Macaca mulatta: one gene and its partners. The protein of the gene in region 1 interacts with the protein of each later gene in a pairwise test. Links are inferred from orthologs where the notes say so. Each region holds a gene or a part of one and is shown on either strand. Other genes may lie near its edges.

Region 1 (4,253 bases):
CATGCACCTGTGGTCCCAGCTACTCGTGAGACTGAGATGGGAGGATCGCTTGAGTTAGGGAAGTTCAGGCTGCAGTAAGCCGTAATCGTTCCATTGCACTCCAGCCTGGGTGACAAAAATGAGACCCTGTCTCCAAAAAAATGAAAACAAAAATCAGATTATTTACAAATAATAAAATTTGCTACCACTGCAGATACTCAAATAACAGTTTCAGGGACTGTGTTACAGTCTGTTCAGTTTGCTTCAAGTTACACTGGGAGGATGTGTTCACTGTTATTTGAAACTATATAATTAGAGATTTTCACGCTATAGAAAGTTAGCCAATATAGAAAACACATTGCTAAAACAATGCTCTAATGGTACATCCACAATTTTCTGAAGCTAGAATGAAGATAGATAATTATGTATTATTGGCAGGGCGCGGTGGCTCATGCCTGTAATCCCAGCACTTTGGGAGGCTGAGGCGGGCAGATCACGAGGTGAGGAGTTCGAGACCAGCCTGACCAACATGGTGAAACCCTGTCTCTATTAAAAATACAAAAACTGGCAGGGCATGATGGCACGCACCTGTAATCCCAGCTACTCAGGAGACTGAGCAAGACAATCGCTTGAACCTGGGAGGTGGAGGTTGCAGTGAGCCGAGATCGTGCCACTGCACTTCAGCCTGGGCGGCAGAGGGAGATTCCATCAAAAAAAAAAAAAAAAAAATTATTATTCTCTGCCCACCCCCACCCCATCTTTATTTAACATCAGGTCTCAATATGGACAGAGTCTCAAAAGCATGACAATTTTTACGGAAAGCATTATCATACAATGTATGACCTTCAGAAACCTAGCAACAATCAACTCGTTTGAATTGAAAACAGCCTGTCCAAAATGCCTTTTATTTACAAGGAAATTACTCTTTGCATAATGGTAAGAAAATCTATTTTCAATATTGTTTCTGGTTAACAGTTCTAAGATGGACTAATGACGCTGGAGTAATTACATGTTGGTATGTTGGTAATACATGCCTTTTTACCGAAATTCTACTGCTCTCAAAGGTGACATTTACAGAATTTTTAACTCTTCGAAGTTGATCATAAACATGGTCTCTCTTTGATTCTATCAGACTTCTTTTTCTACTTTATGGAGTGCTCAGAAACTTACGTCAGAAGTAATTTTAAGCTTTAGTAACCAAATTTATCTCAGCATGGTTTACAATGAAAATACGTTGTTTTGCAGATCTCATGAAAGCAGGATCTAAGTTTTACTAAGGTTCCTACTTATTTTAAGCTCCTTATCCAACTTCAATCTATTTAATTTAAAAAAAAATCAAAACAACTACAGTTTCAGAAGATTTAACAACTTCCATCTGGATCAAGTCAACCTCTAACCAGGGCTGGCCAAAGGTTTTGTTTCTCATGCACTCTAATTTTAAATAACAATAATTTTAATAATAATTTAGAAGAGATACTTCACTTGGTTCCCCTTTACTTCTCTTCAGGCCATGACTTAACGCTGCATTGTGCCCATCAACTTCATGATTTAGCAAAGACATTACCCTGTCTTTTAAGCACATTAAGAGCAACACAGTTTAGCTGACACAATGTTAACCAGCAACTCCTGAACAAGCTTCACAGTAAGATTTTTCTCATGACTGAGCAGCAGTTTTTATCCTAGGTGAGTTTGCTCAAAAATAATTGAGTAAGTAATCAACCAGCTTCTGGCATACCTTTGGCAAGTCACATTTTCTGCCTTGTTTTCTAGCTGAGAAGGGTATAAAAATCCCACGAAAAGAAACCAGAACTCCGAGCCTAGAAATGTAAATTATGATCCAAGCTAAGCCACTCACCAGTTGATTGAACCTAAGTATAAATCAATTACCCCCATTCCAGCTCCATTTCTCCATCGAAATGGCGATAACATAATCAGCTGCAACCACAAGGTGATGCGGTTTGAAAGAGATAGGAAGAGAGTTCTGAAGCGTGTAAAGGTGCTACGTAAATAGAACGTAATAATTAGTAGGGATAGAACTTTCACCTGCTTTGCAAAACTTAAAGGGTCATCTCGTGGCTTACAGCTCGAAAAGAGTCGAGCACAGGTAACCCGAGCCCGTTCGTGACACTTTCCCGAACTCCAAGGGGAGGATGATTAGCAGTTCTGGGCGGGAGTCAGGGGAATGCCAATCCGAGCCCAACGTGGGCTGCTCGCGCTCTCGCCCCCCATGGGAGAGACGCACTGAGAGATCGAAATGCAACCCCGCTTCAAGACACCCTCGCAAATGAAGGAATTTCAGGGAGGGGGTAGGAGGCGGCAGGCTGGGCGCGCCGCTGCCACCTCCGACTGGGCCACTCCTTGCGCCGCCAGCGCCCCAGCCCACGGTGCCACGTCCCGGCCTCCGTCACCGCCAGCCCTCACCCCACCCGGAACGGGGCACATCCTCCGGAGGCCACAGGGATCGTTCCCTTGCAGGCGCCCCTGGGGGGACCACACGTCGGACCAGGGAAGGGAGGGGACAGTTAGAGCGGTTGGAACAGTTGTCCCTGGGCTGGCCGCCCCAGAAGCCGGCCCGGCCCGGCCCGCCCCGGCGGAGCCTCAGACACGGCCCCGGGCCGGGAAGGCTCCCCAAGGGCAGGCCTCGGCGCCGCCGGCCCAGCGCAGCCCCTTAGGGAGAGGTCCCGCGGTGCAGGCTCACCTCCAATGTGTCAAAAGCGCATGTTCGCCGCCGCTCGACCCACGTCTCCGCTCCGCTGGCCTGGCCAGGCCCGCCCAGCCGCTCGGCTCAGCTCCCCTCCGCAGCCCCGAGCTCCACTCCGCGCACCTCCGCTCCCGGCTCCTCCCCGACACGTCAGGGACTGCCTGGGTGTCCGAGGCCATTCTGTGACGCACGGGGGCGGGGCTCGGAGCATGCGCGGCAGCCCGCGGGTATGCGGGGCGGGGCGGGGCGGGGCTGGTGCCACAGGGGGCGGGCCAGAGCCCGGCGCGCTGACGTCAAGCTGACGGCGTCCTTTTGCGCAGGCGTTCTTGGACTCTGAGACCGGCTGGTTATGGCTTCAGCAGCTCCCTGAAACTGCTATTCGGGAGAGTGGTTCCAAGACGGATGGGAACGTGCCTTCAGTTTTCCGGCCACCAAGGCCCTTCAAGTGTCCATGTGTCAGTGTTCCCGTTTATAAAACGAATCTCGGCTCATAGTTCACCTCCGAGTCCATTCCCCCTGCCTGAACACCCAATGGAACACCAGGGGCATTCTAAGCATCACTGCCACAAAGCTCTGTGTTGTTTTTACAGCACTTGCACTGCTTACATTTTGTATTTGTTCTCATCTTCCTCCAGTAGAATTCTAAGTTCTATGAGAGCTAGAACCTTTTATGCCTTGCTCATCCCAACAGATAACTTGGTTCTAGGCAAAGTGGACGCTCAAATATTTGATGAATGAATGGATTCGTTGGCACCAAGGGGATTTTATATTTGCCCATTTATATATTGTATATATAAATATATTTATATATTGTATATATCTGAGCATATATTCATTTTTGTATACATGCGTGTACATGTGTGTATGGGTGTGACTTTCTCCCCTCCAAGGCCCCTAAGAAATGGAGTCCTACATTTATATATGTATAATAACATATATTATGTATTTTATAAAATATATATAACATATTTTATATAATATATAACATATATCTATAAAATATATATTATATATTATATATTTTATATAATATACATTATTATATATAATATATAATTTCACAAATTTATAATTTCACAAATTTATATATTATATATAATTTTATATATTATATATTATATAAGAGATACATTTTAAAAACAATTTTAAGAACTTTGCTGTATATTATATGTATTATAATATGTAATATATTATACAATTATGTATTATATATTATATAATATATACTATATACATTATAGTATATACATTATATATTAGATATATACCTCTTACAATCCATTTTGCTTTTTTTTTTTGAAACGGAATTTTGCTCTTGTTGCCCAGGCTGGAGTGCAGCAGTGCGATCTCAGCTCACTGCCTCCCAGGTTCAAGCGAATCTCCTGCCTCAGCCTCCCAAGTAATTGAGATTACAGGCGCCTGCCACCACGCCCGGCTAATTTTTGTATTTTTAGTATATTTTTAGTAGAGACGGGGTTTCACCATGTTGGCCAGGCTGCTCTCGAACTCCTGATCCGCCTGCCTCGGCCTCCCAAAGTTTTGGGATTACAGGCGTGAGACACCGCACCCTGCC
Region 2 (3,651 bases), on another chromosome or scaffold:
TGTTGAGGATCTTACAATCGGATTATTCCTTGTCTAACATTACCTTACGATTGTTGGCACTGCCTTCTCAATGTTAGTGTTCGATGACAAGGGTGAATTCTGGCCAAATTCTTGCCAACTGTGAAAGCAGAAAGATGCTGCCTTAATAGTAGCTACCATCTCTTCATTGTTCCACAAGATGATTCTAGAAGTGTGAATGGGTTTTTTCCTATTTTTGGTGGTGTTTAGGTTGATTTTGATAACTCAGGATAAAACAGTCTTATTCATGGCTCAGTGTGTTTGGGGAGTTCAAGCCTCTGGTTTCTCTGAGTGTCCTTTCTTGGCTGATGACATTAGATACAGTTTACAATCTTGGTAATGGTGTGAGGCGGTCTCATAATGGTAATGAGGTTTGATATATAGCATGGAGGTTTGCCTGTTCACTGTGAGTAATTTAAGTGGGATTTACTAACATACTTTTATATTTCTTATATAAAAACTTGTACAAGCTGGCTGGGTATGGTGGTTCCTGCCAGTAATCTCAGCACTTTGGGAGGCCAAGGTGGAAGACTGCTTGAGGCTAGGAGTTCAAGACCAGCCTGGGCAACATAGTGAGATTGTTTCTACTATAAAACTAAAAAAAGTGTAGAAACTTATAAAAGCCCGTAGACACTTAATATGTAATCAGTGGCATATTATCCAGCTAATCACATCATCAGTGAGAATTCCATTTTGTTCTTTGATCCATATGTTGCTGTAATAATTAACAGTGTCTCAGTATCTGTAAGTAAACAATGATGTAGTCTGTAATCTGTGAGTCTTGGGTAGCTCCCTTTTGCTTGATAGCAGGAATAGATATTTTGTGATTACAAGTATTTCATGTACTGAGTAGGAGATAATACTTTTGCAATAATAATCGATTGTGGTGTATGTTTTACTACTGTGATCACTACTGGATTGAAATCTCCAGTCATCACTTTGCTGTGTGTTGGAGTGGCAATTTTAGTGTATTTATAGAATGGTAAATTTGGATGGGTCAGTTCAACAAGGCGTTTGAGAGACACTGGATTCTAAGCCGGGTTTTAAGGAGACATGAGTAGGCTTTAGGGGAGGGTATATTCAAGTGTGTGGAACCTGAGTTGAGAGGTAACTAGAATGAAGGAACAATTGCATGGGTTGTCATCTAACTTTTTTTTTTAAATTAAGACAAACAGTATTACTTTCCACTAGAGCAGAGTTTGGTAAACTATGGCCCATGGGGAGGGCACTCATTTGTGAATACGAGTTTATGGGAACACAGATTATTCAGTTAGTATTGTCTATAGGTGCTTTGTTTTACAATGACAGAGGTGAGTAGTGACAGACACCATATGGCTGGCAAGCCTAAAATATTTATTCTCCACTTTGTTACATTAGTACCAGATTGAGGAATTTATATTCTAGAAAAACACCACCTCGATATCCTCTCTTGTCACTTTTTTATATGTCCCTTGTTATTTGATACTTAAGGCATTGTGACTTGGAGATGACTGTCTTTACATTTTTATTGTAAATATATTACTATCATTTTTTCCTATCCTTTATGTATGACCTAGTGTGGTCAGAATAGCATACTTTAGAAGCTGAAGTGTTTATGGATTTTAACAATGAGATTAGAATGAGTTGCTACTTCGTTTCCTAAAGCAAGGCGTTTCTTTATTGCAGCATCCTGGAGACCTTGTATTGTGCAGGGTGCTCGCTCAATCTTGGCTACGTGTACAGATGCACGCCCAAGAATCTTGATTATAAGAGAGACTTGTTTTGCCTCAGTGTTGAAGCCATTGAAAGGTAAGTTTGATATATAAATGTTTACCTCACAACTGGTGTTTCAGAAAGTTAAGTTTGCAGAGAAATTGGCACGGAAGTGTCCGAACTAAATCAATACTGTTTCGTTAAATATATTTTCAAGTAATGATTTCTAACAAGCCAGTAATTTTTTTTTTTTTTTTTTTGCTTTGACCTGCTTCTTTATTTGGTATTGGAAAAGTCAGACACTCTAAATTGTAGGAGAAAACACTGTGAGAAATTTTTTTGGAATAAAAGTATATTCAGTTGTTTTTAAAAATTGAATGTAGTTTAGTAGGATTTTGCCCACCGCCCCTAGCTTTTTATTTTTATTTCTTTTAAAACTTATTTTTTTAAGATCTGGGGTCTCACTCTGTCACCCAGGCTGGAGTGCAATGCTGTGGTCATAACTTTCTGCGTCCTTGAACTCCTGGGCTCCAGCAATCCTCTTGCGTCAGCCTCCCAGGCAGCTAAGACAACAGGCGTATTGCCTGGGGTCTTGTGTTGCCCAGGCTGGTTTCAAACTCCTAGCCTCAGATGATCCTTCTGTCTCAGCCTCCTGAATAGCTGGGAACAAGTGCATGCCACCACACCAGGCTTGTATTTTAACCTTGTATCGTACGTCAGTTATGTTTTAGGGTCCTCTGAAAAGCAAATTGTGTCAGAAGATAAAGAGCTTTTTAATCTTGAAAGCAGAGTTGAAATAGAAAAGTCTCTAACACAGGTAATTTTATTCTGTACGTTTTGTATCTCTGTATGAACAATTTGTCAGTGAAGAAGTGCTTCCCCACAAACGATAATCCTCATAACGTCATCTGTCTTGATCGCAGGAAGAGTGTGCCTGTTTCATTTCAGGTGTTAGTAAAGTTGATTTTTGGGGAACTCAAATGAAGCTAAAGCTTAATCAACAAAATAATAAGGAAGACATTTCATGACAAAATCAAAACTATGTATTCTAATTTTGCTAAGCTAGAAATACATCTTTGATTCAAATCAGTATTTTGTTTGCTTCGATTCTTGTGGTATAATTAGCCTTGTTGTTGGATGTTAACATTTTGTCATGGCCAGATAGGTGAGATGGTGATGATTGTATAAAAGAGATGCAGATTGTAGGTTGAGAACTAATGTTGATAGAATTATGCTTTATTTTTAAAAATTTATGCCTGCAAATAGTTTTGGTAAACACTGAATATCTACCATGTAATGTATGATATATCCAAAATTGCATTAAGTGTATATCTTAATTATTTTTAACCATGTATAATTTTAAATGATATGTGTGTTTAATTTTTTATTTTTTCAATTCAATAGATGGAAGATGTCTTGAAAGCATTACAAATGAAGCTGTGGGAGGCCGAATCAAAATTGTCCTTTGCCACTTGTAAAAGCTGAACTCTAGTCTGTGTCCTCCATTCTGCCCCCGCCCTTCCTCCCCTTATTTGTTAAATGAAGCAACATACTGAGACGTCGTCTCTACAAAAAAAAAAAAAAAAAAAAAAAAATTAGCCAGGCATGCGAAACGCTGAGGTGGGAGGATCACTTGAGCTTGGGAGGTCGAGGCTGCAGTGAGCCTTGATCATGCCATTACTGCATTCCAGCCTGGGTGACAGACTGAGACCTTGTCCCCCCGCCCCGCAAAAGAAAAGACCCCAAAATTGTGGAATTACTTTTAGCTATATTTTATGGTAAAAAGTGATTGTTTCTCAAAATCCCATTTTAAAGCCGTTTTATGGTACTTGTTGGAATTAGGACTTAGGAGTTTTGATTTTGATAAGAAACTGGGATAATTTTCTGAACTTTTTTTCCTCTGTATCACATTTATTTACTATTTTTAAAAACTTTATTTGA
Region 3 (3,651 bases), on another chromosome or scaffold:
CTGGCCTGAGGAGGACCATGCCTGCCAGTCAGGACAAGGATGTCAGGAGCAGGAGAAGCCCGTGTGGCTCTGAAAGCTTGAGTGGGCTACTTTCATTTTGTGGACCTGAAACATTGTCCTTGTCCTGTAATGAATTACCACAGACTGGGTGGCTTAAATAACAGAAATTTATTTATTACAATTCTGGAGTCTGGAGGTCTAAGACCACGGATCCTGCAGATCTGGTGTCTGATGAGAGCACTCTTCCCACTGTGCAGATGGTCTTCTTCTCATTGTGTCCTCACAAGGCAGAGACCAGAGACAGAAAGCAAGCTCTCATGTCTCTTCTTATAACAGCACGAATCCCACTCATGAGGGCTCCCTGCTCTGAGTTAATTATTTCTCCAAGACTCCACTTCCCAATACTATCACATTGGGAGTTAGGATTTCAACACACAAATTTGGGTGGGGGGACAATAAACATTCAGTCCGTAACAGACATGATGGTTGGTTCTTCCTTCTGAAATCATCAAGAGAATCTTTCAAGAGGCTCCAGGCAGTGGTTTTCAGCATTCCCCACTTGCCTTCCAGGTGGCAGGCACCAGCTCTGAGGTCCTTCCAGCCCAGCATCCTCCTCCCTCAGGCATCTGCAGGGATCTGACTGACCACCTCTCCTCACAGGCTGGGGGCCTTCCTCCACAGGACCCTCCCATCAAGAAGCCACCCAAACACCACCGTGGTAAGAGCAGAGCCTCCCTCACTCCACAGGGCCTGCAGAGAATCCTGAGACAGCTGTCCCAGCTCACTGGCAATGGAGAGTCCCTGCCCCTTCCCACTTCCCTCATTTCCTTCCCATAAGTTCTAAATCAACTTATCCTCTATCTCTCAGGTACTCAGACAAAGGCAGAAGGACCAACAATTAAGAATGATGCCAGTCAGCAAACCAAGTGAGTTCCTGACCCTAACCCTCTCACATCCCATTCATTCCTCTCTAGAGAGAACACAATGAATTTTCATGTCCACCTTAATTAAGAAAGAGGAAGCCCTTCCCCACCCTACTGGCTCTTCAGAAGGGATTTCTGCCTCCTGACTTGATTCTTTGGTCCATTATCATTATTTTTAATTTCTTCTCTTTCCAGTTACGGAGTTGCAGTTCTGGATAAGGTAAGCACATATTCACTTTGAAGGGGTCGAATCAGAAAGTATTAAGCTCTGACATTCTGGAATTCCACGATAAACTTGGCTGGGATGGAGGGGCATCTTCTTCCTGGATGGCAAGGAGGTACTGAGCATAGACATGGGGACTAAATGGACCCTGTCAGAGCCAAAGCAGAAGAGGTTTGCTCTACACAAGCCAACCCAGGTGTAGGTTTTATGTCACAGGGTTTCAGGGGACTTAGAGACATTTTGAATACCCTTGTTCTTTCTCTCCAGGAAATCATCCAGCTTTCTGATTACCTCAAAGTAAGTGGCATGTGACCTCTCCCCTCAGTTCCTCCACCCACCTATCCCCGATCCTCCAGGCTAATCTTACCCTCTTGCACTTTGTTCCCGCACCCCCAGGAGGCCCTACAAAGAGAGCTGGTCCTAAAACAGAAAATGGTGATTCTCCAAGACCTACTGTCCACTCTGATTCAGGCCTCTGACAGCTCTTGGAAGGTAAGGGAATGAAATTTTTTTTGAACAAAACTCATGGGCTTCTATGTGTTCCCATCTCATTTTTCTTTCCATATCATCACAGTAAGAGAAAGGGTTTTGTCACTACTGAAAAGTGAGCTGGGAAGAGGCAGAAGATGAGGGTGATGGTGCTCAGACCTAGAAGTCAAACAGGTCACAATAAATATATGGGTCATCACCTGAGGGTCATGGTGCTACATATCCAAGGAAGACCCAGAACCAAAAGTGGCAAGAATTCCCATTTTTTAATTTGTTGGAAGGAATGAAGGAAGACCCCAACATAGTTTATATTACTGAATATGGTAAATGCCAAATATTTTTGTATGGGATTCACACCGATATTTATCCAAACTAGCATGCCATGTACACACTCAGTCCAAATGAAAATATCAGAGTGGGAAGGGACCTTAGAGACAGTCTGGTCTAATACTCTTATTTTGCCCAGGAGGACACTGAGTTTCATAGGGGTCAAGTAACTTGCCAAAAGTCACACAGCTAGTTAGTGGCAGATCTGGAGCTAAAATTCAGGCCTTTGATTTCGGTCCATTCAATGTACAATATTCATAGGTTATGTCCTCTATACGGAACACTGGACTAGCACTAGAAATAATGAGATTATTTAGATAGGGTTCTTGCTTTGAGAAGGCTCATGGTTTTGTAAGAAAGACACATGACTAAACAATACAAAAACATGAAAAATAAAAGAAATGTTTTCAAGATATAGGAAAATACAAGAAGGAATGAGTGACTCCAGAGAAGAAAAGAGCCAGGGGAATGCTTATATAAGCATTTGCCAGGAAAATATAGAAGCAGAAATAGTATTCTAGTTGGGGTACAGGCAAAGATCTAAAGGCAAGGCCGGGCATGGTGGCTCACACCTGTAATCCCAGCACTTTGGGAGGCCGAGGTGGGTGGATCACCTGAGGTCAGGAATTCAAGACCAGCCTGGTCAACAGGGCGAAAACCCGTCTCTACTAAAAATACAAAAGTATTAGCTGGGTGTGGTTGCACATGCCTGTAATCCCAGCTACTTAGGAGGCTGAGGCAGGAGAATCGCTTGAACCAAGAAGGCGGAGTTTGCAGTGAGCTGAGATCACCTCATTGCACTCCAGCCTGGGCAACAGAGCAACAATCCATCTCAAAAAAAAAAAAAAAAAATTAAAGGCATGACACAGTCTAATAAAATGGTTCTCCAATTTTTTTATTTCAGGATTCCTTTATACTTTTTCAATTATTGAAAATATATAAGAAATGTTTATATTTACCATATTAGAAATTAAAACAGTTGGCCAGGCGCAGTGCCTCACACCTGTAAGTCCCAGCACTTTGGAAGGCCAATGCAGGAAGATCACCTGAGGTCAGGAGTTAGAGACCAGCCCAGCCAACATGGCAAAACCCTGTCTCTACTAAAAATACAAAAATTAGCCAGGCGTGGTGGTGCACACCTGTAATCTCAGCTACTCCGGAGGCTGGGCCACGAGAATCACTTGAGCCCAAGAGATGGAGGTTGCAGTGAGCCAAGATCGTGACACTGCACTCCAGCCTGAGTGACAAGGCAAGACTCCCTCTCACAAAAAAAAAAAAAAAGAAAAGAAAAGAAAAAGAAAAAGAAAGAAGAAAGAAGAAAGAAGAAAGAATTTAAGACAGAAATTGAGAAAGAATTATTAATTTTAAAATGATAGTAAAATATTTCATGCTAATCTAAATTACATGTTTTAAGAAAAACAGTCTGGGCACAATGGCTCACACCTGTAATCCCAGCACTTTGGGAGGCCAAGGCAGGCAGATCACTTGAGCTCAAGAGTTCAAGACCAGCCTGGGCAACATGGCAAAACCTTGTCTCTACTAAAAATACAAAAAATTAGCCAGGTGCATTTGCATGCACCTATAGTCTCAGCAACTCGGGAGGCTGAGGCAGGAAAATCTCTTGAGCCCCAGGGGCAGAGGTTGCAGTGAGCCAAGATTGCACCACTGCATTCCAGCCTGGGCAACAGG

The links.
Region 2: the proteins of NDEL1 (region 1) and MIS18A interact in binary tests that used the Homo sapiens proteins (3 or more experiments, as listed by UniProt). The link is inferred for Macaca mulatta from reciprocal best matches to the Homo sapiens genes NDEL1 and MIS18A.
Region 3: the proteins of NDEL1 (region 1) and TRAF3IP3 interact in binary tests that used the Homo sapiens proteins (3 or more experiments, as listed by UniProt). The two-hybrid records come from large-scale screens. The link is inferred for Macaca mulatta from reciprocal best matches to the Homo sapiens genes NDEL1 and TRAF3IP3.

The regions. Positions count from the first base shown.
Region 1 is NC_133421.1:9,937,972-9,942,224, reverse strand, and holds the start of NDEL1 (nuclear distribution protein nudE-like 1), read right to left. Parts: upstream 2,870-4,253; 5' UTR 2,860-2,869; coding exon 2,770-2,859; exon of another isoform or gene 2,738-2,769; coding exon 2,678-2,737; intron 1-2,677. UniProt on the Homo sapiens protein: Required for organization of the cellular microtubule array and microtubule anchoring at the centrosome. May regulate microtubule organization at least in part by targeting the microtubule severing protein KATNA1 to the centrosome.
Region 2 is NC_133408.1:15,075,687-15,079,337, forward strand, and holds part of MIS18A (protein Mis18-alpha), read left to right. Parts: intron 1-1,683; coding exon 1,684-1,806; intron 1,807-2,430; coding exon 2,431-2,527; intron 2,528-3,114; coding exon 3,115-3,195; 3' UTR 3,196-3,651. UniProt on the Homo sapiens protein: Required for recruitment of CENPA to centromeres and normal chromosome segregation during mitosis.
Region 3 is NC_133406.1:67,516,982-67,520,632, forward strand, and holds part of TRAF3IP3 (TRAF3-interacting JNK-activating modulator), read left to right. Parts: intron 1-570; coding exon 571-718; intron 719-868; coding exon 869-926; intron 927-1,118; coding exon 1,119-1,143; intron 1,144-1,413; coding exon 1,414-1,443; intron 1,444-1,542; coding exon 1,543-1,638; intron 1,639-3,651. UniProt on the Homo sapiens protein: Adapter protein that plays essential roles in both innate and adaptive immunity. Plays a crucial role in the regulation of thymocyte development.